Oryctolagus cuniculus: one gene and its partners. The protein of the gene in region 1 purifies or fractionates together with the protein of each later gene. This does not show direct contact. Links are inferred from orthologs where the notes say so. Each region holds a gene or a part of one and is shown on either strand. Other genes may lie near its edges. The genes, in order: CNOT1, TOB1, TNRC6C, CNOT10, TNKS1BP1, OBI1 and CNOT6.

Region 1 (3,500 bases):
TTTCATCTGGGTCTCCACGTGGGTGGCAGAGGCCCAAACACTTGGACCACTACTTTTGCTGGTTTTCCCAGGCCATTAGTAGGGAGCCTGATTAGAAGTGTAGCAGCTGGGACACAATTGGTGCCCATATGTAGCTTTACTTGCTGGCCCCACAATTTTTGTTTGATAAGTGCTCTATACTAATGTAGCCTGAAAGTAATCTGTTTAGTATTTTTTGTGTGCTCATATTTAGCTTGTCTGTCATGTCAACTCAGGTGTGGAGGTTTCCTCTTGTGTTATCATGTCAACACTGAAAAAGTTTCCAGTTTTAGAGTATTTCAGATTAGGGTTTTCAATCTGTGCTTATTATTTCTGTAATATAAAAAGCTTCAAAAGATAAAAATGTCACTGTTAATGTTCAGAAGTGGTGGCTTGGCACCGGCACTGTGGGATAGCTAGTAAAGCTGCAGCCTGTGGCTCTTGCATCCTATATGGGCTCAGTTCCAGTCTTGGCTGGTCCACTTCCAGTCCAGCTCCCTGCTAATGCACCTGGGAAAGCAGCGGTTCATGGCCCAAGTACCTGGGTCCCTTTGCCCATGTGGGAGATGTGGAAGAAGCTCCTGGTTCCTGTCTTCAGGTCACCTCAGCTCCAGCTGGTGCAGCCATTTAGGGAGTGAACTAGCAGATGGAAGATCTTTCTGTCTTCCCCTCCCACACCCTCACCCCCAAAATATGGTGGCTTGGGCTTTATTGGATAACAGAGTCTGAAGTGTTTGGTTACGAATTTTCTACCATAAGCTAATTCTCACATCTAAATTCTCTGCCCTTTCAGGTGCTCCTGACTTCAGATAAAGCTGCTGCCAATTTTTCAGATCGTTCTTTGTTGAAGAACTTGGGACATTGGTTAGGAATGATCACATTAGCTAAAAATAAACCCATCTTACACACTGTGAGTTTCAGCTTAAAAGTTTTATGTTAAGTTTGATAATGTGCATGTGTCTAAAAGTCTTGACTTTGGGGCTATTCTAATGATTTTTTTTTTGTAAAATTTTGGCCCATATTTTGATTTCCTAATATTTGCTCATGGTTCTACATCTTTTAGGATAAAGAAAAGCCAGCAACGTGTGATGGTCACCCCTTCCTTTTTCTAAGGCAAGGGTCAGATACTATGTTGATTTTCTATTTTGGGGATGAGCTTAGTGAGATCCCATTGTATGGGTACTTTATGAGAGTTTTGTAGTATATGCCCAGCTTTTGAAAGTACTTCTTTTTTTCTAGGATTTGGATGTTAAATCTTTGCTGCTAGAGGCTTACGTTAAAGGACAACAAGAGTTGCTCTATGTAGTGCCCTTTGTTGCCAAAGTCTTAGAGTCCAGCATTCGTAGTGTGGTGAGTAAATTTTAATATGTCATTTATGGATAATATGAGTTGTATCATTTCAACCCAGGAGTTTATTCCTAGTTTTGTGCATTCTGCATTTGCAGTTAGAGTTGAAATTAGAGGTCTGATGCTGATGGATGACTTTTGAGTTTTTCTGAAGCAGATGGGAAATTTCTGAAGTAGATGGGAAATCTGGGGGATTTGTTATAGCCGTGTGGGTATAAATGTTTTAAAATACCCAAATTAAAGGGTGCTCTCTGGGCCAACTTAACATAATGGTTTTTACTTCAGGTTTTTAGGCCACCAAACCCCTGGACAATGGCAATCATGAATGTATTAGCTGAGCTACATCAGGAACATGACTTAAAGGTAAATTTATTTCTTTATCCTTTAGAACATTGTCTGCCTTCACAGAATTAACATTTAGAATGAAGGCAGAGTGATTGGAGTAGGGGGGATATGCACGGTAACAGTTGTTGAGGGTGGAATATGTTATGAATAAAACTAAATTTTTGTTTTAAATATTCTAATCAAATATTGGAATTATGATGCAGTTAAACTTGAAGTTTGAGATTGAGGTCCTCTGCAAGAACCTTGCATTAGATATCAATGAACTAAAACCTGGAAACCTCCTAAAGGATAAAGATCGCCTAAAGAACTTAGATGAACAACTCTCTGCTCCAAAGAAAGATGTTAAGCAGCCAGAAGAACTCCCTCCCATCACAACTACAAGTAAGTATGATAGTCTAGCCTTTTGGTAACCAGAATATTCTCTTACTAACTTAATCTTACTAGATTCTGTCTTGACAGTTCACACATTCTTCAGTAATTTGTGGTTTAGTCACTCATTGCTCATATATTAGTCACAGCGGTTAGTTATGTGAAGTCTCAGAATTAATTGCCTAGTATGATGGCCTGTGTTATCCTTCAAACCTAGAGTTTGCCAGACTAGATGGCTTTATGAAATGGATATATTTTATATATATGAAAAGGATTGGAGGTGTAGGGGTGAGGTTTTGGGATGCTGAGTGGTTGGGATGTATGTCTAGAATGAACCAGCTTTTGTTTGCTCCTAGCAGCAAAGATATCCTAAGTAAACTAGAGAAGCAGGTGAGGTTGAAAATAGACATCTGTAAAAAATAGACTTGAGCCTATAAGGTTTGGGCCTGCTGTTGTGACAGGATCCCTCAATTAAGTTCTGTGCTTTGGGGCACTATTAGTGATGTAGTTTTGTGTGCTTTGAAAACGTCTGTTATAATAACAAAACTTATCTCTCAGAGTGGGAAAGACTCCTCCCTCAGAGCAATCTGATCTACTTAATTAGATAACAATGGCTTGTTCAGATAATTGTCTAGTAGCTTCAGCAGGTGTTTTTAAATGTTCTGTTTATTTTATTACTTACATTTAGCAACGTCTACTACACCAGCTACCAGCACTACCTGTACAGCCACAGTTCCACCACAGCCACAGTACAGCTACCATGACATCAATGTGTATTCCCTCGCAGGCTTGTCACCACACATTACTCTGAATCCAACGGTAAGTCAGCACTGCTCCTTTCCCCTTGTTTCTAGTTTGTGAGCTGTTTCATCACTTTGCCTTCTCTCTGGACTCTTTGTCAAAGTATAGATCTGGAACTGCTATGTGGTATAGTTGGGATTTTTGATTTCTTTTAAAAATAGTCAGAAATGCCTTGAAATTAGTCACTGGTTCCTCTTACCCAAACCTGGGAAAATAAATTAAACTGGTGATAAAATTTTGATCTCTTGAGATTTCTTGACATAGGTCAAAAGACTTATGGTGTATGTTGGCTCTTATTTATATTTTCATGTCACATTAGCTTTGTATTAAGCTATTTGTCCTGGAAGATGACTGCAACTAAGCAGATTTTTGTGTGTCTGTAAAATTTCCCAACTAGGGTCTTGAATGAGTTAGTACTTTCAGTTAGGTTGTTGAGGTCAGTTACCAGGAGTGAATCTGATCTAAGGTCATGTAAAGTAATCTCTCATAAGTACTTTTCCCTAAACATGAAGCTAATATTTATTCTGTAGATTCAGAATTGCTTGTTATCTTTAGCCTTTCACACCCCTTCAACCAACAGGATTTTCTTGAAAGATTATTTATTTGAAAAGCAGATCAAT
Region 2 (4,078 bases), on another chromosome or scaffold:
GGACACAGAAAGCGGGTTCGTGCCCGCGCAGCGCAGCGGGTCTACGCCGCGCACCGCCTTCCGCGAGCCCCGCTCTTCCGCGGGCGAAGGCCGGCGGCAGCGGCGGTGTTCCGGGAAGCGCGCCCGGGCGCAGGGCGCAGGGCGCAGGGCGCTCCATTCACGGCCCCGAGGCCCGCTCCCGCCCTCGCTCCCCCTGGACCTTCTCTCCGCTCCAGCGGGTCCGACTCTGACGTCCGTCTCCTGGATACCAGGCGGCCAATCGCCTGCTCCTCAGGGGCCGCGCGTGGCCAATCAGGCGTCGTTGCTACCTGTGAGTAATATTTTTAGCTGCGAGGGACGCCCCACGGCTCCCAGTGTAGCTCGGTGTGTTTCTCCGCGGCCGGTTCTGACAAGCCGCTTGCCCGTCCCCCGTGGGTCCCTCTCTCGCCCCGCTCCCTAGGTTTCCGCACCTACGTCCACCGAAAACCCTCCGGAACGCGCCGTGTTTATTCCGTGCACCTGTGTTAACGCCCTTGCCATGCACAAACGCACACGCACACAGATACATACGCAGCTTGGCACGGCGGCGCCACCCCCCAGCCACCGAGGGGCCCTGGGAGTGACATGTGCTCCTTCTTACGGCCTCGGGCCACCCCCAGCTCCGAGCCGCTGCGGGTCGCCCGGGGAGGCCTGACGCGGGACGGCGGAGGCGGTTAAACTGTCACCTGGGCGGAAGGTGCGGCGAGCTGGCCTCCCGTCCCCACCCCCAGCCCGGCGGCTTTGGGTTCTGCAGTTGCCACTCTGCCGGTGGCAGTTGGCCTAGGCCCTGAGGTGATTAATATTCAATTAACCGAGCGCACGAGCCCCAGTCCCAGTCTAGACTCCCTCGGCGTGGGCCAGAGGTCGACTTGGTAGCTCATCCACCAGAGGGATTTTCCTCGGTCACAGTCCCGCTCGGGCCTGTGCGCATTTTCTGCACCCGACCCCTCGCTCTCGAGGTCCCGGGCCGTCCGCCCCGTTCCCCCTGCCGCTTTGCCACCTGCTTCGCTCCCCTCCCCCTGCCTCCTGGCGCTCTCGGCTGCGTCCGAGCGTCAGCAGCCCTGCCCCACCCCTTTCTACCCTCTCTGACACGTCTCTCCTCCAATCCCCGTCTAAGTTTCCTCTTGGTCCCGCCCACAGCCCCTCCAGACTGTCGGCTCATTGGCCATTCTGGTGCCCGAGGAGGTGTGGCCTTCCCCCACCCGGGCCGTTCGCCGCCCGACGGGACATGGGCAGGCGGGACTTGGCCAATGGCGTCGAGGGGTAGGGCCGGGGTGGAGCGAGCCGGCGAGAGTCCGGGGTGCTGGACGGGGAGGGCGGGGAATGGTTACGCCGCCCCGAAGCTGTGTGACGCGGGCGGGCGCGCGCACCCCCACGGAGGGGATTGGGGGCAGGGAGAAGAATATAAAACGAGAGGCGGGGCGCGCGCCGCGGCAGAAGGAGCGAAGCTCTGGCCCGGCGTGGAGTGGGCGCTCTACGGGGACGCTGGGCCGGGGCACCGGGCTGTGTGGAGAAGTGAGCGCGCTCGCCTGACCCCCGTCCCCGCCACCCCGAGCCAGAAGCCGCGAGCTCCTGAGGCCCGCCCGAGGCCTGCGTCCTCCGTCCGGCGGCGGCGGCGACGACGTCTTGCATTCGGTCGACTCGCCGCTCCCGCGCCCCCGCCCTGCCGCCCCTTCTGCCCTCCCGGCCGCCAGCCTGTGGTGGACGCAACCCCGCAGCAGCCCGTAAGTATCGGCGAGGCGGCGGGCGGCAGGGAGACGGGAGCCCAGACCGGGGCGCCGAAGGAGGGGCTGCAGCGTCGTCGAGCCCCGGGCCCTCGGGGTGGGGTGGGGGTGGGGGGCTCGGGGACGGCGGCTTCGCGGCCGTGGGCGCGGACGGACAGCTCCCGGGACCCGACGGGAGCGGCTCCGGACGCCCGGCCCCGAGGCGTCGGGCTCGGCGGGGGCCCGGCGGGTGACCGGGAAGGGAGGCCCGGGGCGAGCCGCCGGAATCGGGGGTTGGGGCTCCCGGGAGGGGCGGCGAGCTCGCGGGCAACGCTGGGGTGCGAGGGGCCGGTGGCCGCTGAGGCCGAAAATGGTGCCGGGGAGCCGGTGCTCCCCGGGCCCTGGCCGGGTCCCAGGAGCCTCGGGCGGGGGGCGGGGGCGGGGAGAGGCGGGTCAGGTTACGGCGGGGGGAGGGGAGCGGCTGACCGGCGGCGCCGGACCTGCCCGGTGCCCGGTGCCCGGCCGCGGGAGCTGGCCTTTCCCCTTCCCGTGGCCTTCGTCGTCGTTGTCCCCTTCCTCCTCCTCCTCCTCCTCCCCGGGAGCTCGTACTCTTCCTCCTCCTCCACCTCCTCCTGCTGTAGCTGCCGCCGTAGCGCTTGGGCTCCGGGCGCTGTGAGCAGAAATCTAATGAGAACTGGCTGTTTATGTAATTCTCCACACTCCCGTGTTCAGGCGCCGCCTGAAAACTACCTTCCGCCCAGCCCGAATGCGCTCGGCGGCACCTTCCAGCCATCGAGCCTCATCGGCCGCCTCTGCCCGCACTCGGGCGTGGGGCTCGGAAAGTGTGGGTCGTTCGGGCGCAGCCGGGGGCTCCCTTCCCTTTGTCGCCGCGAGCAGGGGAAAAACGGAAGCGGGGCTGCCAGGTCGGTCTTTGCACGACCTTTCCCATCCATCTCCCTGTACACACAGGTCTCCTTTGCAAATATCTTGTGTTTGCCCTTGATCTTTCCTTATCCCCACCCAGTGCTGACCCAGCAAGCGTGTAAAGGTCGACCTTATCATACGTGCCTCATGGCTGTTCTCTTATCCTGAGAGGCTGGGAGGTGCTTTTCAAAATCAGAATAAAACTCCAGCCCTGCCCTTTAAGCAGAATCATCGGTGTTCGGAAATTCATTTGTCGCTCCCGTGCGGTGCCAGAGAAGCACTTGCTTTGCTCTCGCTGTCCAGGAGGTGTTTCCAGAGGTAGAGAGGGACGCACCGCCAGGCCCGGGGTCGTGTGCCTGCCTTAGTATAGTTAGTCCCCGCGTCCACGCAGGTGATTTAGTGCGTGCTTATCGTTGACTAGGATGACAGATTCATTCGGCCTATAGTCCCTTTAATTTTAGCATCATGTACTTTGAAATGAGTTTTCCTGGCTTCTCAAATTTCCACATGTTTACCGATGGTGCAGATTAAACAGTCTATAACCAGATAGAACTGAGATAGGATTCACTTCCAAGTCGGTGGATAGCGCTAACAATTAACGATCAACTTCTACCAGTGGCATATGTGTGGGGGCTGGGGGTGAGTGAGTGGGAATGCGGAATTGAATTTCCAGTAAATATTTTTGTGAGAATTTGGAGGAAGGGGAAGGAAAAAAAAAGGTATTCTGTAGATACTTTTCTTAGAACTCTACTCAGTAAATGATTCTTTTGAAGACTGTTTATTTCAACTATAAATTTACATCTCCCCGAGATTTTGAGCCTTAAGAAACAATTTTCTATTGCATGTTGATTTCGTGTGGGTTGTGTTTTTCAGGCTGTCTAGCCTATGAGGCATTTTTAAAAAGTGAAATTGCGGGGGGAATAGAGTGAAGGTCATGGGATTTGACGCTGCACGTCTCTTACTTGGACATATCTGCTTTTGTTTTGTTTTCTGTAAAGGACGAGAGCGCCGAAGGTGAAGGATAATCTTCTAAAACCAGCACTTTGAATGAAAATTTGTTTCTCTGCCACACACTGAACGCCTTTTTTTTTTTTTTTTTTTTTTTTTTTGTGGGAGAGTTGAAACAAACCTAATTTTGTGGCATAGCAGCTATGCAGCTTGAAATCCAAGTAGCACTCAATTTTATTATTTCATATTTGTACAATAAGCTTCCCAGGAGACGTGTCAACATTTTTGGTGAAGAGCTTGAAAGACTTCTTAAGAAGAAATATGAAGGGCACTGGTATCCTGAAAAGCCATACAGAGGATCAGGGTTTAGATGTATACACATAGGGGAGAAAGTGGACCCAGTGATTGAACAAGCGTCCAAAGAGAGTGGTCTGGACATCGATGATGTGCGTGGCAATCTGCCACAGGACCTTAGTGTTTGGATC
Region 3 (4,300 bases), on another chromosome or scaffold:
GGTTCCTGCCACCCAGGGGAGATCCAGGTGGAGCTCCTGGCTCTGGCTTGCCAGCCCTGGCTGTTGTGGGTGTTTGGGGAGTGAACCAGCAGATGGTTGACTCTTTGCCTATCACCTTGCCTTTCAAATAAATAAATCAATCTTTTTAAAAAAATGTACATATTAGAGTAATAAGCTGATAAAGCACTCAAATGTTGACCTAAATAGAAAAAAATTTGACAAATTATATTGTTGCAGGAAAAACACACAGATACTAAGAGGTTTGTTGATATGTCTCATAAAAATGTGAAATATGAAAACTCTTATTTCAGCATTGAGGAAGAAAACTTATCTGAAAAATACAAATTATAGAAAAATTTTATTTTCAAACCTATACCAAGTTTAGATTGCAAAAAAAGAAAAAAAAAGTCCCGACAGAAATCCTGGAGGAACTACTTGATTAGAGAAAAGTGTCCTGTTATGCTGTTATGGGCTGCACTGTTATGACACAATTAGGCTCAGGAGCTAGCCCCTCCCTCAGCAATCAGGAACAGCACACCAACCGCTGGGCCGCGGAACCCCCCCCCCCATCCCGCCCCTTTAGAGTCACAAACTGCCCTTTCTACTTTTTAAGCTACTTCCCGCCTTTTAACAACTTGTTTTTTAAAAAAAAATTATTTATTTATTTTAAAGTCAGAGTTACACAGAGAGAGAAGAGGCAGAGAGAGAGAGACAGAGACAGAGAGAGAGACAGAGGGGTCTTCCAATTCACTGGTTCACTCCCCAGTTGGCCACAATGGCTGGAGCTGCGCTGATCCAAAGCCAGGAGCTTCTTCCGGGTCTCCCACGCAGGTGCAGGGGCCCAAGAACTTGCACCATCTTCCACTGCTTTCCCAGGCCACAGCAGAGAGCTGGATGGGAAGTGGAGCAGCCGGGACTCGAACCGGCACCATATGGGATGCTGGCACTGCAGGCGGCGGCTTTACCCGCTACGCCACAGCACCGGCCCCTTTGAACAACTGTAATACTCACAGTGTGTAGGCTGTATGTACTGCATGCCCCATGTCCAGGCACCAATTTCAAAAAGCAAATGTTTCCTAAGACTGTCATAAAGTACATCCTGCTAACTGCCATCATTTTGATTGATTTGTTTTCTAAATTTTTATTTGTTTTCATTTTATTTAAAGGCAGAGAGAGAGAGAGAGAGAGATCAGTTGATCGACTTTCCATCTCTGGCTTACTCCTCCGATGGTGGCAACAGCAGGGCTGGGCCAGGCTGAAGCCAGCAGCCATGAACCCCATCTGTGTCTGCCACGTGGGGGCAGGGGCCCAAGTGCTTGCGCCCTCACTGCTGCCTCCCAGGGCGCATCAGCCGGGAGCCGGGTGGGAACGAGAGGAGCCGGGGCTTGACCCAGGCTCTCCAAGCAGCAGCTTAGCCACTACGCCACAATGCCTACCCTGATTTCTTACAATATTACACCTAGAGTTTACCTCTCCCAAGACTTGAGCAGAATCAGGTCTAGTAACGGGTTCATACGTGTAGGGCACTGACTTACAATCTGCCCTATCGGGGAAGCAACTAGCAGTTTACCAGATCACCCTCACGACAGCCTCCGTCCTCAGAGCGGCGGATGCACAGGCGACGCGCTCTTGCCCAGACAGCGACGCTGAGGCCCTCAAATCTGCAGTGGCGGCTTTACTAGACGCGCTCTCGCAGCCTCCTGCGAGTCAAAAAGCCCGATGGGAAAACTCAGCAGTTCTCTGGACAGCCAGAGACAGTCCAAGTGTGAAGGTTTCTGATGGTCTTGCTTAATCCAAAGACAAAACTTAGACAATCAAAGAATCCTCCATAAATACCAAGTTCCAGTGGAAACACACACAAGCAAGCAGCCAGCATCGAGTTACGCAGTCTCTGGAAAACCCAAGGGCAGCAAGAACTGTAACTTACTAGGCACTGGGCTGTGCAGATCATTGAGATCCATGATCTCAGTCACTCCTCAAAGCAACCTTGTTGGAATGGACACCACCTGAGCCTTCAAGGCCACATGTGCTCACACAGTGACTGAACTGTCAGTCAAATGTCACTCACCGCATCCGCCATACTGCACAGCACCCCCAAAGAGTGCATGCTCTTGGGGCCGGGGCTGTGGCACCAGCATCCCATATGGCTGCTCCGCCTTCAATCCAGCTCCCTAGTGGCTTGGAAGAGCAGAAGATGGCCCAAGTGCTTGGACCCTGTACCTGCGTGGGAGACCGGGAAGGAGCTCCTGGCTCCTGGCTTTGCATTGGCCCAGCTCCAGTTGTTGCAGCCATTTGGGGAGTGAACCAGCGGATGGAAGACCTCTCTGTCTCTCCCTCTGTAACTCTGCTTCTCAAATAAACAAATACATATTTTAAAAAGCCTTTAAATTTCTTTTACATTTTACTTTTATTTATTTGAAAGGGAGGGAGGGAGGGAGGGAGTAGGATGGGGGGAGACAGACAGATACAAGAGCGCTCCTACCTGCTGGCTCCCTCCCCGAATGCCTGTAAGGGCCAGGGCTGGGCTGGAGCTGGGCATCTAACACTCATTCCAGGTCTCTCACATGAGTGGCAGGAACCCAACGACCTGAGCCGTCATCTGCTCCTCGAAGGGTGTGCGTCAGCAGCAAGACAGAAGCGGGGCAGAGCTGGGGCTCGAGTCCAGACACTCGGATGGAACGAGTACATCTCAGCTGGTGGCTTAAGCGCCCTCCCGCCGGCCGCCCTCCCGCCTCTCCAGTCCACGGCTGGAAGGTCTGCAGGTTCTTCCTCACGCCCACGGCCCCACACAGGGAGGCTGGGAGGTCTGCAAGGTCTTCCCTCACCCACGGCCCCACACAGGGAGGCTGGGAGGTCTGCAGGGTCTTCCCTCACCCACGGCCCCACACAGGGAGGCTGGGAGGTCTGCAGGGTCTCCCTCACACCCACGGCCCCACACAGGGAGGCTGGGAGGTCTGCAGGGTCTCCCTCACACCCACGGCCCCACACAGGGAGGCTGGGAGGTCTGCAGGGTCTCCCTCACACCCACGGCCCCACACAGGGAGGCTGGGAGGTCTGCAGGGTCTTCCCTCACACCCACGGCCCCACACAGGGAGGCTGGGAGGTCTGCAGGGTCTCCCTCACACCCACGGCCCCACACAGGGAGGCTGGGAGGTCTGCAGGGTCTCCCTCACACCCACGGCCCCACACAGGGAGGCTGGGAGGTCTGCAGGGTCTCCCTCACACCCACGGCCCCACACAGGGAGGCTGGGAGGTCTGCAGGGTCTCCCTCACACCCACGGCCCCACACAGGGATCTGGGAGGTCTGCAGGGTCTTCCCTCACCCACGGCCCCACACAGGGAGGCTGGGAGAGGGCTCCAGATGCACTCAGTGAAGCTTCTTCCCGCAGGAAGATGAGGATGCGTTCTGGGGCTAATGGCGACTCTGGGCCGGGGCACCGGCCCGCTTCTGCAGACGTCCCCAATACAGGGTGACTCTTCTGAAACAAAGCGATGCGTATACACACACATCTGAGCTTGTGTGTTAGGTGACCGAATGATACATAAGCTTGGACTCCACGGAGCATGACCAGAAGCACTTGGGTAGGGCTTCTCAAAGGAGAAGGCGGCACCAACTGCCTACGCAGCCGCAGAAGGACCTCCATTCCTGCAGGACGACGGCGCGGCACAGCTACACAGCGGCCCTTCCAGGTGGACCTGCTACAAAGCACTGCATTCTACCCAACCTAAGACGCCTCAGACAGACGACGCACAGTGCTTCTGTGCATCACTAAGAAAGAAATGCTGCCGATCACGCCCTGCTATACGCATCCCACTGGATGTAAGGCAAACAGCAATTCTGGAGATGTAAAACGTGCGAAATGTGTTTCAGGCCACAGCAGAGAGCTGGACTGGAAGAGGAGCAGCCTAGATTAGAATCCGGCACCCATATGGGATGCCAGCACCGCAGGTGGAGGATTAACCAAGTGAGCCATGGCACCGGCCCCTGAAATAATTATTTTTATAAAATTTAATATTCAGGGCTGGCGCTATGGTGTCATGGGCTAATCTTCCCCCTGCAGCACCGGCATCCTATATGGGCACCAGTGGAGTCCGGCTGCTCCTCTTCCAATCCAGCTCTCTGCTATGGCCTGGGAAAGCAGTGGAGGATGGCCCAAGTCCTTGGGCCCCTGCACCCACGTGGGAGACCTGGAAGAAGCTTCAAGCATTGAAGTCTCAGAATTCTGCCACCACCAGTTTCCTTTCATCACCTCAAAAGTTTTCTCCCGATTGTCCTCACCCTTCTGGATGAAATGAGTCA
Region 4 (4,286 bases), on another chromosome or scaffold:
CTCATTGTCAGTGGCAGTGTTCTGCTTTGCCTGTCTTCCAAGCGTGCTGACCCTAGTTACTCGAGGTCTGTGACTGGCAGGATGCTACGGTTTGTGGCACTGCTGCTGGTATGACTGGCTTATCCTCTGGGCCAGTTCTCCAGCTCTTCTGTCCAACTTCAAGTAGAGGGGACCTGCTTTAGTGACTGCTTGTACTGTAGAACGTGGCTTCACTGGTCGTGTTTTACTTCTCGGAGCTTTGTAGAAATTAGTCCTTTTTTATAGTTTCTTTATAAAAAATGATTTACTTATTGGAATCAGAGTTAGAGAGAGAGAGGGAGGGAGGGAGAACCCAAAAAAGAGAGAGCGCTTCCATCTCCTGGTTCACTCCTCAAATGGCCATGACAGCCAGTGCTGGGCCAGGCTGAAGCCAGGAGCCAGGAGCCTCATCGGGGTCTCCCATGTGGGTGACAGGCACTGCCACTCTCCCCTGTTTTCTCAGGCACATCAGGAGGGAGCTGAATTGGATGGAGCCAGAGCAGCCAGGTGTGGAACTGGTGCCCGCAGGGGATGCCGGCATCGCAGGCAGGAGCTTAACCTGCTACACCACAAGGCTGGCTTTTTTTTTTTTTAAGGATTTACTCATTTATTTATTTTAAAGTCAGAGTTATACAAAGCAGGAGAGGCCGAGAGAGAGAGAGAGGCCCTCCATCTGCTGGTTCACTTCCCAAATGGCCGCAATGGCCAGAGCTGCACCAATCTGAAGCCAGGAGCCAGGAACTTCCTCCGGGTCTCCCATGCGGGTGCAGGGGCCCAAGGACTTGGGCCATCCTCCACTGCTTTCCCAGGTCACAGCAGAGAGCTGGATCGGAAGTGGAGCAGCTGGGATACAAACCGGTGCCCATATAGGATGCTGGCACTGCAAGTGGCGGCTTTACCCGCTACGCCACAGCACCGGCCCCAATACTGGCTTTGAAATTAGTATATGTGGGGTTTTGTTAAGTCAGAAATACTTGTTTAGATGATAGAAACCACATTTGAAGTGTCTTAACCTTAGCTATATGGTGACTTTAGTGAACCTGAATTGATTTTTTTTATTTTTTATTTTTTGAAGTGGTAACCTTTTTCTTTTTTTCTAGAAAGAGAGCTCCCATGTGCTGGTTCTCTTCCCAGATGTCCACAAGAGCCAGTACTGGGCTGTAGCCAAAACTTGGAGTCAGAAACTCAATCCACATCTCCCATTTGGGTGGCAGTTCCCAGTCACTGAGCTGTGGCTGCGGCCTCCCAGGACAGGAAGCTGGACTCAGGAGCTGGGGATCAAAGCTAGATGCTCCGTGTGAGACATGGGAGTCTCAACCGTGAGGCCAGGCATCCTCCTCAGGCCTTTCAGTTTCCTCATTTCTTTGGAAACGTCTTTCTTTTCTTGAACATCATTGGAGCTATAGCTAGTAGTCATCCTCCAATCAGATTTGAGTGGTTAACATTCTGTGCTGGAATGTGTCTGTTCTTTCCGTTAACTGACTTTTTATGGTTTTGAAAAAGCAGTACATATCTTTTCTACTTAGTTCAAACCAAAAAGCAATTATTTGGTTAGAAATGAAGTCCGTTGGCTTAAAGAATGTCAAGGCTTGTGGGTCAAAGAGCTCTGTTCGCCTAGAAGGTCAGCCGTGCTCCTTAGGCCAGAGCAGAAGGAAGGTCAAGCTTATGGATGAGCGGTCGTATACTCTGTCCATTGGCAATGGAGACTACTTTTGGACAGATAAAGACACGCTGTGGAATTATGTGCAGTCTCTGTCTGGTAAGAAGTGAGCAGTTACAAATAATGGACATTGAAAAAACATTCTAAAACTGACTACAAAAATGAATACTCTTAAAAAAAAAAAAAACTTGAGAAGCATAGATAAGCAAACATAATTTTTATCTTGGGTGGCTGTTTAGCGTGGTGGTTGGGATGCCACCCGGAAGCCCACATCCCTCACTGGAGTGCCTGGGTTCACGTCCCGGCTGCTGCTGACCCAGCTTCCTGCTGAGGCACACTCTGGGAGTAGCAGATGCTGGCTCAAGTGCGTGGATTCCTGCTGCCCAAATGGGAGACCCGGGTTGAGATCCCAGCTCCTGGCTTCAGCCTGGCCCAGCCCTGGGCGTTGTGAACATTTTGGTTGTGAGCCAGTGGATGAGAGCTCTCTCTGCCTCTCAAAGAAATATTTTTTTTTTTTAAGATTTAGTTATTTAGGCCGGCGCCATGGCTCACTAGGCTAATCCTCTGCCTGTGGCGCCAGCACACCAGGTTCTAGTCCCGGTTGGGGCGCCAGATTCTGTCCCGGTTGCCCCTCTTCCAGGCCAGCTCTCTGCTGTGGCCAGGGAGTGCAGTGGAGGATGGCCCAAGTGCTTGGGCCCTGCACCCCACGGGAGACCAGGAGAAGCACCTGGCTCCTGCCTTCGGATCAGCAAAGTGCTGGTGGCCGCAGCGTGCTGGCTGCGGTGGCTGTTGGAGGGTGAACCAACGGCAAAAGGAAGACTCTCTCTCTCTCTCACTGTCCACTCTGCCTGTCAAAAATAAAAAAAAATTATTTATTTACTTGAAAATCAGAATTACACAGAGAGAGAACTAGAGGCAGAGGGAAAGAGAGGTTTTGCATCCGCTGGTTCACTCCCCAGATGGCTGCAACACCTGGAGCTGCGCCAATCCAAAGCCGGGAGCCGGGAGCTTCTTCTGGGTCTCCCAAATGGGTGCAGGGTCCCAAGGACCTGGGCCATCTTCTACTGTTTTCCCAGGCCACAGCAGAGAGCTGGATTCAAATTGGAACAGCTGGGACTCGAACCTGTGCCCATTTGGGATGCCGGCACTGCAGGTGGCAACTTTACCCGCTACGCCACAGCTACGCTGACCCCTAAGAAATATTTTTAAATTCGTTGTTTAAAATTTTATGGTGAGTATTTGTGGAATGGGAGATTTTGCTTCGATCTAAAACTTATACCTTGCCTTTTTTTTTTTTTTTTTTTTTCAGTTAATGTATTTATCTGAAAGAGTTACAGAAAGAGAAAGAGATGTTCCATCTGCTGGTTCACTGCCCAAATGGCCAAGGAGCCTGGAACTCCATCCAGGTCTCCCATGTGGGTTGCAGGATTCCAACTCTCAGGCCGTCACCCGCTGCCTTTCCCAGCACGTTAGCAGTGAATTGGATTGGAAATACAGCAGACAGGTCTTGAAACTGCTGCTCATTTAGGATGCTGGCATCGCTGGCGGAAGCTTAAACCCATTGCTCCGCAGTGCAGGCCCCATGAACACTGATTTATCTGCTAACTTTATCAGAATTAACATTTCTGGGACTGGTGTTGTGCCAGAACTGGTCAAGCAGCCACTTACAGCACTAGTATCCCACATGAGTGTAGGTTTGAGTACTGGCTGCCCCACTTTTGATCCTGCTCCCCCCCACCCCATGCACCTGGAAAAGCTACCCTTTTGTGGCCATTTGGAGAGTGAACCAGCAATGGAAGATCTTGCTCTCTTGCTCTCTCCTCCTCCCCTCCCCCTTCTTCTCTCCCTCCCTAACTCAGCCTTTCAAATAATCTTTTCTAAAAAAGAAAGAAGTAACATTTCACAGAATGCCCTTCTTATAGGGCAGATAAGTTCTTAGATTGATAGGTTCTCAAAAGCAGATTATTGTTAGTATAAATGTGATTTGAGAAGGGTGTAGACATTTCACAGTAATCTAAGGCGGTCTGTAATCAAGTTACACTAAATTAACTTCATTGTCAATTTGTGTGGTTAAAGATTTATTTATTTATTTAAAAGTCAGTTACAAAGAGAAAGATGGAGAGAGAAAGACCTTCCCTCCATTGGTTCACTGCCCAAATGGCCGCACCAGCCAGAGCTGGGCCAGTCCAAAGCCAGGAGCCAGGACCTTCTTCTGGGTCTCCCACATGGGTTCAGGGACCCCAACACTTCAGCCATTCTCCGCTGCTTTTCCCAGGCACGTTAGAAGGAAGCTGGATCGGAAGTAGAACAGCCGGGACCTGAACTAACGCCTTTACGGGTGCTGGTGTTGCAGGCAGCAAAGCACAACGCCGGCCCCCACTTTGTGTGTTTAAAGTACAGACATAAGTGTATTTAAAAAAATAACCATAGGAAGCCTTAGTTGTCCTGGCAGAGGCAGAGGGAAAGGGAGCTGGTGGTTATTTAGCGTTTCCAGCTAAAGACAGGCCAAGAATAGACTGTACCGACTGAGTGACAGGTTCCAAGGCGTGTGCCCGTTTCCTTACACCATACTGGCTCTTGAAAGAGGAAGGCTGGGAACCCCCGCTGG
Region 5 (3,500 bases), on another chromosome or scaffold:
AGCCAGCGCCGCTCACGCGCTCTGCTTCCTATTTCTCAAGCAGGATCTGCCGCATGTGATGAAAGTGTCTACTCTCAGGGAAAGCACAGCCATGGCTTCCCCACCGCCCCGGGAGCCGGAGGAGGAGCTGCTGCCCGCTGGCTCCGAGCCAGGTACCCATGGGTGCAGGGTGGAGCCGGTGGCTGAGAGCAGGGTGGGAAGGGCGCAGGCTGCACCCCCATTCCATCCTGGGGGGTAGCTGAGTTGAAGTGTGTTGAGGTAGCTGCGAGGCAGGGCCGCAGTACTAGGAAGTGCGGGATAGGGTGGGAAGGCCCTCGGCCCGGCTCTAGCACCTCTAAGGGCAGACAGGACCCATGGGGGTGATGTGGGTCCAGCTGTGTGTTTTGCAGGTGGGGGCAGGGGCTGCGGCCGGGAGAGGGGACCCCTGAGACCCAGAGGGAGGCCTGGAGTGCACCCACCCAGGCTCCTGCCTCCATGTCTCTAGACTCTTAGCCAGCTGAGCGGGTGATCGAGGGTTCCACTAGAAGGGCTGTGACCCGGAGTGATTGCGATGCTGTTTATCTGGCATTGGAATGCCTTATATAGAAGGAAGATTTCTGGTCTTGGTTTTGAGTTTTTTTCCCCCGCTGTAGCAGATTTACTTTTGTTTGGCTTAGGTCAATAGTAAGTTTGCATTCCTTGGTCACACACCGGATGACAGTGGGGAGGTGGCCTGGGTGTGTGCTGGAGGCGGGGGTAGCTGGAAGGCAGGATGAAGAAACAGAGTTGGGGTGAGTTTACTGTGGGGGATGCAGCGGGGAGAGGGCTCCATGGGAAGACAGTGGGCGACTGGTGTGGCGGGAGATATTTGTTTATTGGCTCATTCATTCATGTGTTTGATTAGAGCATGTGCTGGGTACAAAGTAGGGTGCAAGGGGAAGTGAGGTGCCAGCAGGGCCCTTACATAGCTTTAGTTTAAAAGGGGAACTGGTGAAATAACTTTGGGAGTTTGGAGAAGGGAGAAGATGTTTCTGGAATGTGTGTGGAAAATCAAGGAAGCCTTCATGGAAGAGGTGGCATTTGACTTGTGCCTACACAGGCGTGAGCATTCTGAAATTGGAGGGTGGGAGATGAGGTGGAACAAGAAACACAAGAAGTTCTGCTTCTTGGTTCTTCTGACAGCCCCCCACACCCACTCCTCTTTCCTTTTGTAGGTGACCCTCGGGCCAAACCCCCTGTGAAGCCTAAACCCCGGGCTCTGCCTGCCAAGCCAGCCCTGCCTGCTAAGCCCAGCCTCCTGGTGCCTGTAGGGCCTCGTCCCCCCCGGGGTCCCCTGGCTGAGCTACCTTCTGCCCGGAAGATGAACATGTTGGCGGGACCCCAGCCCTATGGGGGCAGCAAGCGTCCCCTTCCCTTTGCACCGAGGCCTACGACCGAGACCTCTGTTGGAGGAGAAGCCACCCCAGAGCCTGGGAAAGAAGAGGCTGGGAAAGAGGAGCTGCCTCCTCTGACGCCCCCAGCTCGCTGTGCCGCCCCAGGGGGCGTGCGCAAGGCCCCTGCCCCCTTCCGTCCAGCCTCAGAGCGCTTTGCGGCCACCACGGTGGAAGAGATCCTGGCCAAGATGGAGCAGCCCCGGAAGGAGGTGCCTGCCAGCCCCGACCGCCTCTGGGGCTCCCGCCTCACCTTTAACCACGATGGTAGCTCACGGTATGGCCTCAGGACCTACGGTGTGGCTGCTGGTCCCAAGGAGGAAGACAGCAGGAGCCTGGCCAGAGATTGTCCCCAGGAGGGGTTGGCAAAGACTCCTGTAGAGTGCCAGGAAGAACACAGCAAGACCCCCGAGGAGAGGTGAGGCACGGGGTGGGGCGTCCTGCTATATATTTTGTTGTAGCTTGGAGGGCTCTGAGGGCCAAGGGCCAAGTGGGTGGCCCTGTTTGGGGCCATGACTTTCATCTTGAGGCTGGTTGTGTGCTGTGAATATGGACAGACCTGGTCTAAGTCACAAAGCCCTGCCTTGGTAGATGGCGTTGTCATTGCTGTGTGCTTTTGAAACAAACATTGTCATTCTCTTTACAGAACGGATGCATGTGTATCGCAGAGTGTTCGATCACACAGGATAGAAGTGTACTTTCTTTTTTGCTTGCTATTTTTTAAAATATTTATTTATTTTATTCGAAAGGTAGAGTTACAGAGATACAGAGAAGGAGAGAGATCTTCCATCTGCTAGTTCACTGCCCAAATGGCCGCAGTGGCTGGAGCGAGGCCAGACCGAAACCAGGAGCCAGGAGCTTCTTCTGGGTCTCCCACCTGGGTGCAGGGGCCCAAACTTTTGGGCCATTCTCTACTGCTTTCCCAGGCTCACTCATCAACAGGGAGCTGGATAGGAAGTGGAGCAGCCAGAACGTGAACCGTGGCTCATATGGGATGCTGGCACTGCAGGCGGCGGCTTCACCCACTATGCCGCAGTGCCGGCCCAGTTTACTTTCTATATACTGAGAACTGGGCAGCAAACCTTGCCTCCTTGAATCCTGTTTGGTGAAGGGAATGTTAGATCCATTTTAGAGATGGGGAGACAAAGGCTCAGTCCCTCAGCAAGTAAGAAGCAGAAAGGGGGTTTGCATTCAGGTCTGATTGCCAGGCCCCTCCTGTGTGCAGAGTGTCAGGTTTGGGGTGCAGGTGTGTGTGTGTGTGTGTGTGTGTGTATGTGTGTGTGTGGACCAGTGGGGCAGAGCCCCCTGAGGAGGGCTCTATGGAAGACAGAAGACAGGAGCACATGGTGATGCTGGCCCAGCTCTTTCCTGCACAGAGATGACACCTGGTTGGATACATTTGCATATTGCATATGATCCATTTCCCCTTTGCACTGGAGCAGAGGAAGACTGGCTAGGAGGTACCCCTGCGGGTGGGGGTGGGGGCACAGGTCGCTGGAGGAGGCTCAGGAATCTCAGGAGCGATCAGCTGCACAAGGCCCTCTGGGCAGGCAGAGTCAGCTGCAGGCTGGGCTGGGCCCAGGGACTCTTTTCTGCTTTGCATTGCTGTGAAGGCCAGGGCTACTGTGGTCTGGCTGTGTGGAAGCCGAAGGCCCCTGCCCTGCCCTGCCCTGCTGTCCAGCCCTGCCCATCTTTCACCTGGAGACGTAGACCAGGGCGCTGTGAGGTTGTCAGGCTGGGTTCTGCTCTCCCTTCTCTGCCCCTTCCTCTCTCCACGTGGAGCTTAAGAGGAACAACTTCAGCCTTGGAAAGCCTCTCCCCTACTTCCCCCCCAGCCTCCCTCCCACCCCCAATCTCCCAAGGAATATTGGCAGGACAGTTGGGACCAGCTGCAGTCTCCTGGGCTAGAGGAGAACTTTAACCCTTCCGGGGTAAAGGAAGGAGGCTTTATCTTCTGGGTATATGGGACGCTTTTCCTGCAGGAGCTGGGCGGTTTAACCTGTTAGGTGCAGGTTGGGGATTAGCGCTGTCCCCTGGGATGCTTGCTGAGTGGAAGCTGGACAGTCTTCCCGCCCCTCGCCCCTTGCCCGC
Region 6 (4,221 bases), on another chromosome or scaffold:
ACACTGGTCCCTACCTACTCCTTCAGACTTGACAGTAAGCATATGTTGACCTCATGTGATACAAACACAAACACACGCACACATACACACACACAATGAAGAAACTAATACTGAGAAACGTTAGATAAGTTGCTTGAGGCCATAGATCTAGGAAGTTGTTGAGGCTTTGCTTTCCACAGCAGCAGTCCTGTTCCACTCTTGGCTTCTTGAGATCACACTGCTTCTTTGTCAGAAAGATTGTAATAGTTGTTACATTGGTCTTGCTTCTACATCTCCCAACTCACAGATTATATTTGTTTGCATAAGTTATCACATCAGTTCTTCCTCACTTAAAGTGAGATACAGCTAAATCTCAAATCTCTTGCATGAGATTCATTTAGATTTTTGCTTTTTCGTGGTTTAGGAAATGCTAATTTATAACTTCACGAATTCTCCTTTTGGAGTTCACCAACACAGCGGTACATTTCCTATCCAATCATGCACTTGAAACGAAGGCATTAAAAAGCATTGTGCAGACTGCCACACTTGGCCTAGTGGTGAAGACACTCAGGATCTTACCGCAGGGCCTGGGTTCAAGGGCTCCACCTCATGATTCCCGCTTCCTGCTAACACAGACCAGTGGAGGCAGCAGGTGATGATTCAAGTGGACTTGTCCCTGGCACCCACGTGGGAGGACTGGTTTGCCTTCCCTGCCCCTTTGCAGGCACTTGGGTAATAAACCAGTGAATAGCAGCTCACTTTGTCTTAAATAAATAAGTAGGTAAATAAATAAATAATAATCGCATTTGTGATTGTGCAAGCTGCTAGCCAGCACTATTGGCAGAATTCTGAGCTGGAACACTATAATCCTTAAATTTTCTTGAAGTGGATTCCACAGAAAGGCCAAAAGTGAGAGTCCTCAAGGAAAGCTGCGATTAAACACAACTAGATTGCTCCCGCAATACCCTAAGATAAGGAGACAATCACCGTTTTTCCAGTGAATTATCGCGTCCTCTGAAGCACACCCTGTGGTTTGAGGGAAAGCCAGCTGAGAAAGGTGGAAAGTTGTTTTGAGAAATCAAAATGTAAAGTTAAGTGTCTTCGCGTCTTCACTGTATTGTGTGGTTGTTGTGTGGAATTTTATCTTGAGGGAGAAAACTACCTCACATCCAACCTTCCGGGGTAAAACATCTTAGCGCTTAAAGTCGTCTTCCCGCGTCGTTCTCCCCTCACGACACTATTACGCTTTTCCTTAAATTTTCAGGATCGTCGATGCCTGGAGCAAACCATCTTCCTGTCCATTTTCAGGAACCCTACAGCTTCCTAGTGAGAGAAAGCAGTTTAGTTTAGTTTTAGCTTAACTAAAACGAAAAGCCCGAGCGACGGCGCATTTCCAAAGCGCGTTTTAGTTTCCTCTCCCTGGCGGACTGTGGCCCTGCCCGGCCGCCGTAGCCGGCCTCTCGCGTCCCCAGTCGTGGCGAGGAGCCGCTGTCGGCGGGACTTCCGTGTTGGCGGGATTCTGAACGCTGCCATGGCTCAGACCGTGCAGAACGTTACATTGTCGCTCACTCTGCCCATCACATGCCACATATGCTTGGGGAAGGTAATGGGTGTTTCCAGGCACAGCTACGAAACGGGGTTGGGGATGAAGCTGCTCGCTAGAGCCGAGGGCGGACTCCATGCGGGGCTGGGAAGGAAGGGGCGTGAGGCGCCGAGACCAGAGAGGACGCTAGCCCGCGTTCTCCTAGGCGAGGGGGTCCGCAACCTGGGCGACGGAGGGGGCGCGCCGTGACGAAGGGGTTCATCTGGGCGCCTTTGGGAGGAGGATGACAGCGGCCCGGGTTCTACGGGGAGGCCGGCGAGGCGGCCCTCACGGGCCGACGCCTGCCGCGGAGGAGGCCCGGTCAGAAACGCATCGCAGTCACATTTTAGCCCTGTGCAACCTCGTGCGGTGCGTGGCCCTGAAGCACATTTTCTAGGTACCCCGCCTAAGATTCCTTAGCGCTCTGTGCAACCAAAGTACCTGTTCTCCGGCCTGCTGTGCTAATTGGGGAACCTTTTCTTATCCCGGCCTTGAGTTTGGCCTCTGCTCTGGGTTCAGAATTTTGGAAGCAAATAGTACGTGTCCCTGGAAGGTATTTAGAAACGAGGGATCAATCACGAGATAGAAACCCTCTCTTTGTGATGCGAAGGTGCCTAATGTGTGGAACAAGGTGGAGAAAGTAGTTCCGAATTAGAAACGGAGTTGTGAGTGTTCTGATGCGTCCCTTAGGTTTCCTCTCTTTCGTTTAAATTTGTGCCTCCCGTTCAGTTTTTTTAAAGAGCGTTTCTTGACCGTATAGATCAAGAAGGGAGCAGATACTGTGCACAATCAGGTTTTTGCCAGACAGAATTGTTTTTAAGTTTTTGGTGTATGTTCACCCCCAGGTGCAGACTGAGACTGCTGCTTCAGGCTTAGAATTGAGAAATGCATACTTAATATAGCAAGCTTTTTGAGTCAGCCAGAATCATCATCTATCTGCCTTAGGTGGCTGAGGGTCTGTGGGAACTGGGAGGAAGTCAAGATGGGAAGCAACCGTTAACTCTTGATACCAGTCAGAAAGAAATGCTAACGAAATAGCCAATGTCTGCGAGAGCGGCTAGGCGTCAGCTTGATCCTTCGGACTGGAGAGATCAAGGATGGCCTCCTCAGGAGTGGTATTTGAGCTGGCATTTGCTACCATGCCTGCATGCATGGGTGGGAGCAGGAGAAGTGATGTTTCTATTTGCTACAATCCTGCACAATTGGCTCCTGACGTAAGGACCCCAAAAGTATATGATAAATTCTGAATTTCCACAAACCCTGGCATTAAATTAAGCTGATAAAAATATTCTTCTGAGATATCTTAGTTGTATATAGTATATATACTTTCCATTAGTTTATAGTCTGTCTTTTGCAATTATGTTGGAAATGTGTTCTGCCTGTTTTACTTATCAAGCCTGTGTTTTTTGTAGTTAACAAAAGTGCTGCCTAATAAAATACAGGTAGAGCATCAAAATCTGAAATCCAAGATGTCCCAAAGCCCAAAACTCTGAGTCCTGACACAAGCCACAAGTAGAAGGTTCCACATCTGACCTCATCTGATGGGTCATAGTCAAAATATAGTTGCACTAAAAATATTGTATAAAATTACTTCAAGTTATGTGGATAAGGTATATAAGAAACATAAACGAATTTTGTGCTTAGGCTTGTATCCCATCCCTATGGTATATGCAGATACTCCAAAGTCTGGGGGAAAAAAATCCAGAATTTGAAGTATCTGCTCCCAGCATTTCAGATAAGATATAAATCTTTTCTAGTGCTTTGCATATTACAAAATGCTTTTGTGTGTAGTTATGTTGTTTATTTCTCACACCAATACTATGAGACAGTACCAGTTTTCTCATTCATGCAATAGAGCAACTAAAGCTTAGAGATACTGGTGATCAAACTTCTGTTATTATCATTAATGTCTTCAGTAGAATACTTTCTGAAACACTCACCTGGGTTCATCCATGACAGTAGTCATGTTTAGTATCTTTTCCCTCCATGCTTAGTTTTGTTTAGGTAGCTTTATTCTAAAATCAAATCAGATAAAATTGAAAAGATTGACAGTTTGTAAACAGACTTTTTCTGCCTGCTGTGGAAGTAGAATGGTGTGTTGGCCGAATTGTACATTCAGACTACTTTGGGTTCCACTCTAGTTTCTACCACATACTAGTTATATGACCTTATACAAGTTACTTAACCTCTCTGAACCTCAGTTTCCTTATCTGTAAAGTGGCAATGACAGTAGTATCAATTCCCGTGGCTGAATTTGGGGCAGGATTAAATGAAGCATATACAATGCTTAGCAATAAAGTCTGGCACGTAATAGTATCCAATAACTGTTAGTTCTTACTGTGAGCACCGAAGCAGGCCCTTCGACTGGATTAAAAAAAAAAAAATCCTTTTCTAGTAACTGTTCTTGTACCCAGTTGCTTTGTGAGTCTAGTGCACTTATAAATGAAAGTTCACATTCTCAACTAAGGATCTATTGGTTTTGGAAATTGTCATAGTATATCCATGGTTTTTAGCTAGTTCCATATTTCTTTTGCCTTTTGTATGGTTAAAGCAAATCCAATCTGCTGTGCTACTTGGTTTTCCACACATATCATATTTGTCATGTACTAGAAATGGCCTATCCCTGATATGAATTCCATCTATATGATATAAAGCATCTG
Region 7 (3,500 bases), on another chromosome or scaffold:
CACCTGGCTTTCATACTAAATCCTTACAAAGTAATCAGATTGAAATTTCAAATCATCATTAAGAAAAAAACCAAAACAATCCCTAGTGGCCATACCTCACTCCCATCATCAGATTTTCACGAGTTTACAAGTAAAACTGAGGTTGTCCTCTGAAGGTACTTGACTACCTCCTGCCAGGAAGGTGAATGCCATTAACTTGGGGCAGGAAAGGCAGTAAGAGCTCCAGTTGTGCAAAAAGTGAGAAGTGGTCAGAGGGGATGAGAGGGTGTGGGCAGCCGCTGATATTATTCTCAGCTAACCAATGGTGGTCCAAAGGTCCCAGGATGCCTAACGTGTTCAGCTGAGGTTTAGAATAGAAGATGTAGTCAATTATACCCTGAAAAACAACAAGAAAAAGACAAAGCCCCACATAGGATTAATACCAAAATACTTAATGTTTTCAAAGACACAGCCTTACCATTATGTTAGGTTGGGTTAATAAAAAGAAAAGTAAAAAGAAACTTACTAGTACTATACAAATGGAATGATCCCTTCAAAGGTCAAATGCAACAAAACAAAGCATTCTTCTTCCCATCTGAATTTTTTTTAAGATTTATATATTTGAAAGACAGAGCTAAAAGAGAGAGAGGGAAAGGGGGACAGAGAGGGAGAGGAGAGCCCAGCCCCACTGTTACAGGCATTTGGAAAGTAAACCAAGGGTCTTCTCTCTCTTGTATGTCTCTTTCCCTCTCCTTTTGAAGTAAATTAAATATTAAAACAATAAAAATCTCTGAATAGCTAAAGAAACCATATGCTATCTTTCAAAGGAGTACAGTTTTGGTTAAATTAAAATATAATAGAAGCAACACCTCACCCCAAATGATACTAAATTAGATAACACTGTACAGCATATCCAACTGCTAGTAAGGTATTCTACAGAAGACTAACAGAAGAATATTGCTGTCGACAAATTTAAGATTGTTTAATTCCAGTCTGAACATATATCCACTGTTTTATTTTTTGAGAAGCAGAGACAGAGCCCCCTGTTTACTCCTATTTTATTGGTTCACTTCCCAAATGCTTATACTAGCCAGTGCCAAAGCAAGGAATTCAATCCAGGTATCCCACATGAGTAGCAAGAAATCAACTACCTGCGCCATCACCACTGCTTTCAAGGGTTTGCATTAGCAGGATCAAAGTTAGGAGCTTGGACTAGAACCCAGTTGCTCTTATGTGCGACACATCATCGTAACTGCTAAGCTAAATGCCCACTCCCATACCCCCATTTTAAAGACATCCAGAAGTTAGAGGGCTTGCTGGTTAGCTGAGGTTTTATAAGCTTGCCAATCTCAGGACACACCTTGAAATCAAATGTGTAATTCGTGTAAGGCATCAGGCCACTCTCATAGGCACTCTTTAACTTGAAACCGTGAGTGATCCTTCCGTTGGTTGTTCCATTCTTCCCATTACAGCTGAAGTTTGTAAGACTTTCATTGTATCTCAGTTCCTTAAAGTCTTTATGATTTGTTTCTACTCCACCAGTGCTCAAATATTCTACAACACCTAAAATAAAAAGAAATATACTTTTTCATTATCAAGTACAATATACAGGGCACAAGATGCAATTTAAAAGATCATGCAATAGTATAAATATTCCCACTTTCTATAATGTTTCTCTTTTTCTTTAGATTTATTGAGAGGCAGTGTTACAGACAGAGGGAAAGACAGAGAAAGAGGTCTTATATCCATACGGCCACAATGGCTGGAGCTAGGCCAGGCCGAAGCCAGGAGCCAGGAGCTTCTTCTGGGTCTCCCATGTGGGTGCAGGGGCACAAGCACTTGGGCCATCTCTATATCAGAAGAGGAGCAGCTGGACACGAACCAGCGCCCATGTGGGACAGCGGTGCCCTTAACCTACCATACCACAGGGCTGGCCCCTACAAGTTTTCTTTTAAAAACTTTGCCAGACTCTGTCTAAACTTGTTTTAGTACACTGAATATTTTATATATATATTTTTTTTTTTTTCATTTAAAACTGTATCACATGAGCAGGTACACTTTCCTATTATTTTTCTTTAATGGCTACATAATAAGGTACAGTGCCTGCTAAACTAGTTCCTTATTTTTGAAAATTCAGGTTGTTTTCACTTTAAACGAATTAAAAGTTATCACCACAATTGTCGTCTTAGTACACAGGTGTCTATTTATACTAAATTATTTACTTGGTATATGGCTCAACACTAGAACTCTGGAAGAGAATGCAGTTAGGGATGGGCATTTGGCTCAGCAATTCAGCCACCACTTGAGATGCCTGCACCCATTTAAGAGTGCCTGGGTTTGAGTTCTGGTTCCACTTCCAATTCCAGCTTCCTGCTAATCTGCACTCTGGAAGGCAGCAGGAATGGCTGAAGTACTTGTGTCTCTTAAACCCACATGGGAATCATAGAATGAGTTCCAGGTTCTTGGCTTCAGCCTGGCCCAGCCCTAGCTGTTACTGACATTTAAGGGTAAACCAGCCAATGAAATACCTCTGTGTGTCTCCATTTCTTTGCCTTTCAAATAAAAGGTTTAAAAAATAAAAAACAGGGCCTGATATTATGTGCATAAAATAGGCTTAAAAATTTATTTATTTATTTACTTGAAAGGCAGAGTTACAGAGAGGGAGGGAGAGACACATCATCCACTGATTCATTCCCCAAATGGCTGCAATAGCCAGAGCAAGGCCAGTCCAAAGCCAGGAGCTTCTTCTGGGTCTTCCACATACATGGGTGCAGAGGCCCAAGCCACTGGACCATCTTCTACTGCTTTCCCAGGCTCATTAGCAGGGAGTTGGATCAGAAGAGCAACAGCTGGGACTTGAACCAGTGCCCATATGGGATGCTGGTGCAGCAGGCGGCAGCTTTACCGGTTTAAATTTTCATTGTATTTTGAGCGGAAGAGTGAGAAAGAGAGGTATCTTCTATCTACTGGTTCACTTTCCCAAATGTTCACAGACCGCCAACAGCTGGGGCTGGACCAGGAGCCATCCAGGCTTCCCATGGGGTAGCATGGACCCAAAAGCCTGAGCATCATCTGCTATCTCCTAGGGTAAATACTAACAGGAAGCTAGTGCATGGATGAAACAGGCACTCCAACATGGGATGTGGGTCTTTATTTATTGAGTTCTAAGCCTCATTTTACCACCAGGCCAAATGTCTGCCCCATATGAAAATATTTTAATTTTAATAATTAGTTAGCAAAAATCAAATATATTTCTCATGGTTGCTATCAAAACACTGTATTTTCTGGCCGGCGCTGCAGCTCATTTGCCTAATCCTCTGCCTGCGGCGCCGGCACACCGGGTTCTAGTCCCAGTTGGGGCGCCGGATTCTGTCCCCATTGTTCCTCTTCCAGTCCAGCTCTCTGCTGTGGCCCGGGAGTGCAGTGGAGGATGGCCCAAGTGCTTGGGCCCTGCATCCACATGGGAGACCAGGAGGAAGCACCTGGCTCCTGGTTTCGGATTGGCGCAGCGCGGTAGCCGC

Evidence for each region.
Region 2: the proteins of CNOT1 (region 1) and TOB1 purify together in Homo sapiens (co-immunoprecipitation; 3 studies listed by BioGRID and IntAct, counting the BioPlex papers as one, with this or other methods). This does not show direct contact. The link is inferred for Oryctolagus cuniculus from reciprocal best matches to the Homo sapiens genes CNOT1 and TOB1.
Region 3: the proteins of CNOT1 (region 1) and TNRC6C purify together in Homo sapiens (co-immunoprecipitation; 4 studies listed by BioGRID and IntAct, with this or other methods). This does not show direct contact. The link is inferred for Oryctolagus cuniculus from reciprocal best matches to the Homo sapiens genes CNOT1 and TNRC6C.
Region 4: the proteins of CNOT1 (region 1) and CNOT10 purify together in Homo sapiens (affinity purification with mass spectrometry; 4 studies listed by BioGRID and IntAct, with this or other methods). This does not show direct contact. The link is inferred for Oryctolagus cuniculus from reciprocal best matches to the Homo sapiens genes CNOT1 and CNOT10.
Region 5: the proteins of CNOT1 (region 1) and TNKS1BP1 purify together in Homo sapiens (affinity purification with mass spectrometry; 5 studies listed by BioGRID and IntAct, with this or other methods). This does not show direct contact. The link is inferred for Oryctolagus cuniculus from reciprocal best matches to the Homo sapiens genes CNOT1 and TNKS1BP1.
Region 6: the proteins of CNOT1 (region 1) and OBI1 purify together in Homo sapiens (affinity purification with mass spectrometry; 3 studies listed by BioGRID and IntAct, with this or other methods). This does not show direct contact. The link is inferred for Oryctolagus cuniculus from reciprocal best matches to the Homo sapiens genes CNOT1 and OBI1.
Region 7: the proteins of CNOT1 (region 1) and CNOT6 purify together in Homo sapiens (affinity purification with mass spectrometry; 5 studies listed by BioGRID and IntAct, with this or other methods). This does not show direct contact. The link is inferred for Oryctolagus cuniculus from reciprocal best matches to the Homo sapiens genes CNOT1 and CNOT6.

Annotation. Positions count from the first base shown.
Region 1 is NC_091449.1:41,830,809-41,834,308, reverse strand, and holds part of CNOT1 (CCR4-NOT transcription complex subunit 1), read left to right. Parts: intron 1-811; coding exon 812-928; intron 929-1,257; coding exon 1,258-1,368; intron 1,369-1,650; coding exon 1,651-1,728; intron 1,729-1,913; coding exon 1,914-2,091; intron 2,092-2,767; coding exon 2,768-2,898; intron 2,899-3,500.
Region 2 is NC_091448.1:26,684,815-26,688,892, reverse strand, and holds the start of TOB1 (protein Tob1), read left to right. Parts: upstream 1-1,278; 5' UTR 1,279-1,742; intron 1,743-3,643; 5' UTR 3,644-3,796; coding exon 3,797-4,078. UniProt on the Homo sapiens protein: Anti-proliferative protein; the function is mediated by association with deadenylase subunits of the CCR4-NOT complex. Mediates CPEB3-accelerated mRNA deadenylation by binding to CPEB3 and recruiting CNOT7 which leads to target mRNA deadenylation and decay.
Region 3 is NC_091448.1:3,394,959-3,399,258, forward strand, and holds the start of TNRC6C (trinucleotide repeat-containing gene 6C protein), read right to left. Parts: upstream 2,801-4,300; 5' UTR 2,551-2,800; coding exon 2,483-2,550; intron 1-2,482. UniProt on the Homo sapiens protein: Plays a role in RNA-mediated gene silencing by micro-RNAs (miRNAs). Required for miRNA-dependent translational repression of complementary mRNAs by argonaute family proteins.
Region 4 is NC_091435.1:169,316,735-169,321,020, forward strand, and holds the start of CNOT10 (CCR4-NOT transcription complex subunit 10), read left to right. Parts: upstream 1-1,486; 5' UTR 1,487-1,506; coding exon 1,507-1,777; intron 1,778-4,286. UniProt on the Homo sapiens protein: Component of the CCR4-NOT complex which is one of the major cellular mRNA deadenylases and is linked to various cellular processes including bulk mRNA degradation, miRNA-mediated repression, translational repression during translational initiation and general transcription regulation.
Region 5 is NC_091432.1:14,798,518-14,802,017, forward strand, and holds part of TNKS1BP1 (182 kDa tankyrase-1-binding protein), read left to right. Parts: intron 1-40; exon of another isoform or gene 41-43; 5' UTR 44-58; coding exon 59-152; intron 153-1,193; coding exon 1,194-1,827; intron 1,828-3,500.
Region 6 is NC_091440.1:33,579,099-33,583,319, forward strand, and holds the start of OBI1 (ORC ubiquitin ligase 1), read left to right. Parts: upstream 1-1,421; 5' UTR 1,422-1,510; coding exon 1,511-1,582; intron 1,583-4,221. UniProt on the Homo sapiens protein: E3 ubiquitin ligase essential for DNA replication origin activation during S phase.
Region 7 is NC_091437.1:66,985,930-66,989,429, forward strand, and holds part of CNOT6 (CCR4-NOT transcription complex subunit 6), read right to left. Parts: intron 1,543-3,500; coding exon 1,340-1,542; intron 377-1,339; coding exon 164-376; 3' UTR 1-163. UniProt on the Homo sapiens protein: Poly(A) nuclease with 3'-5' RNase activity.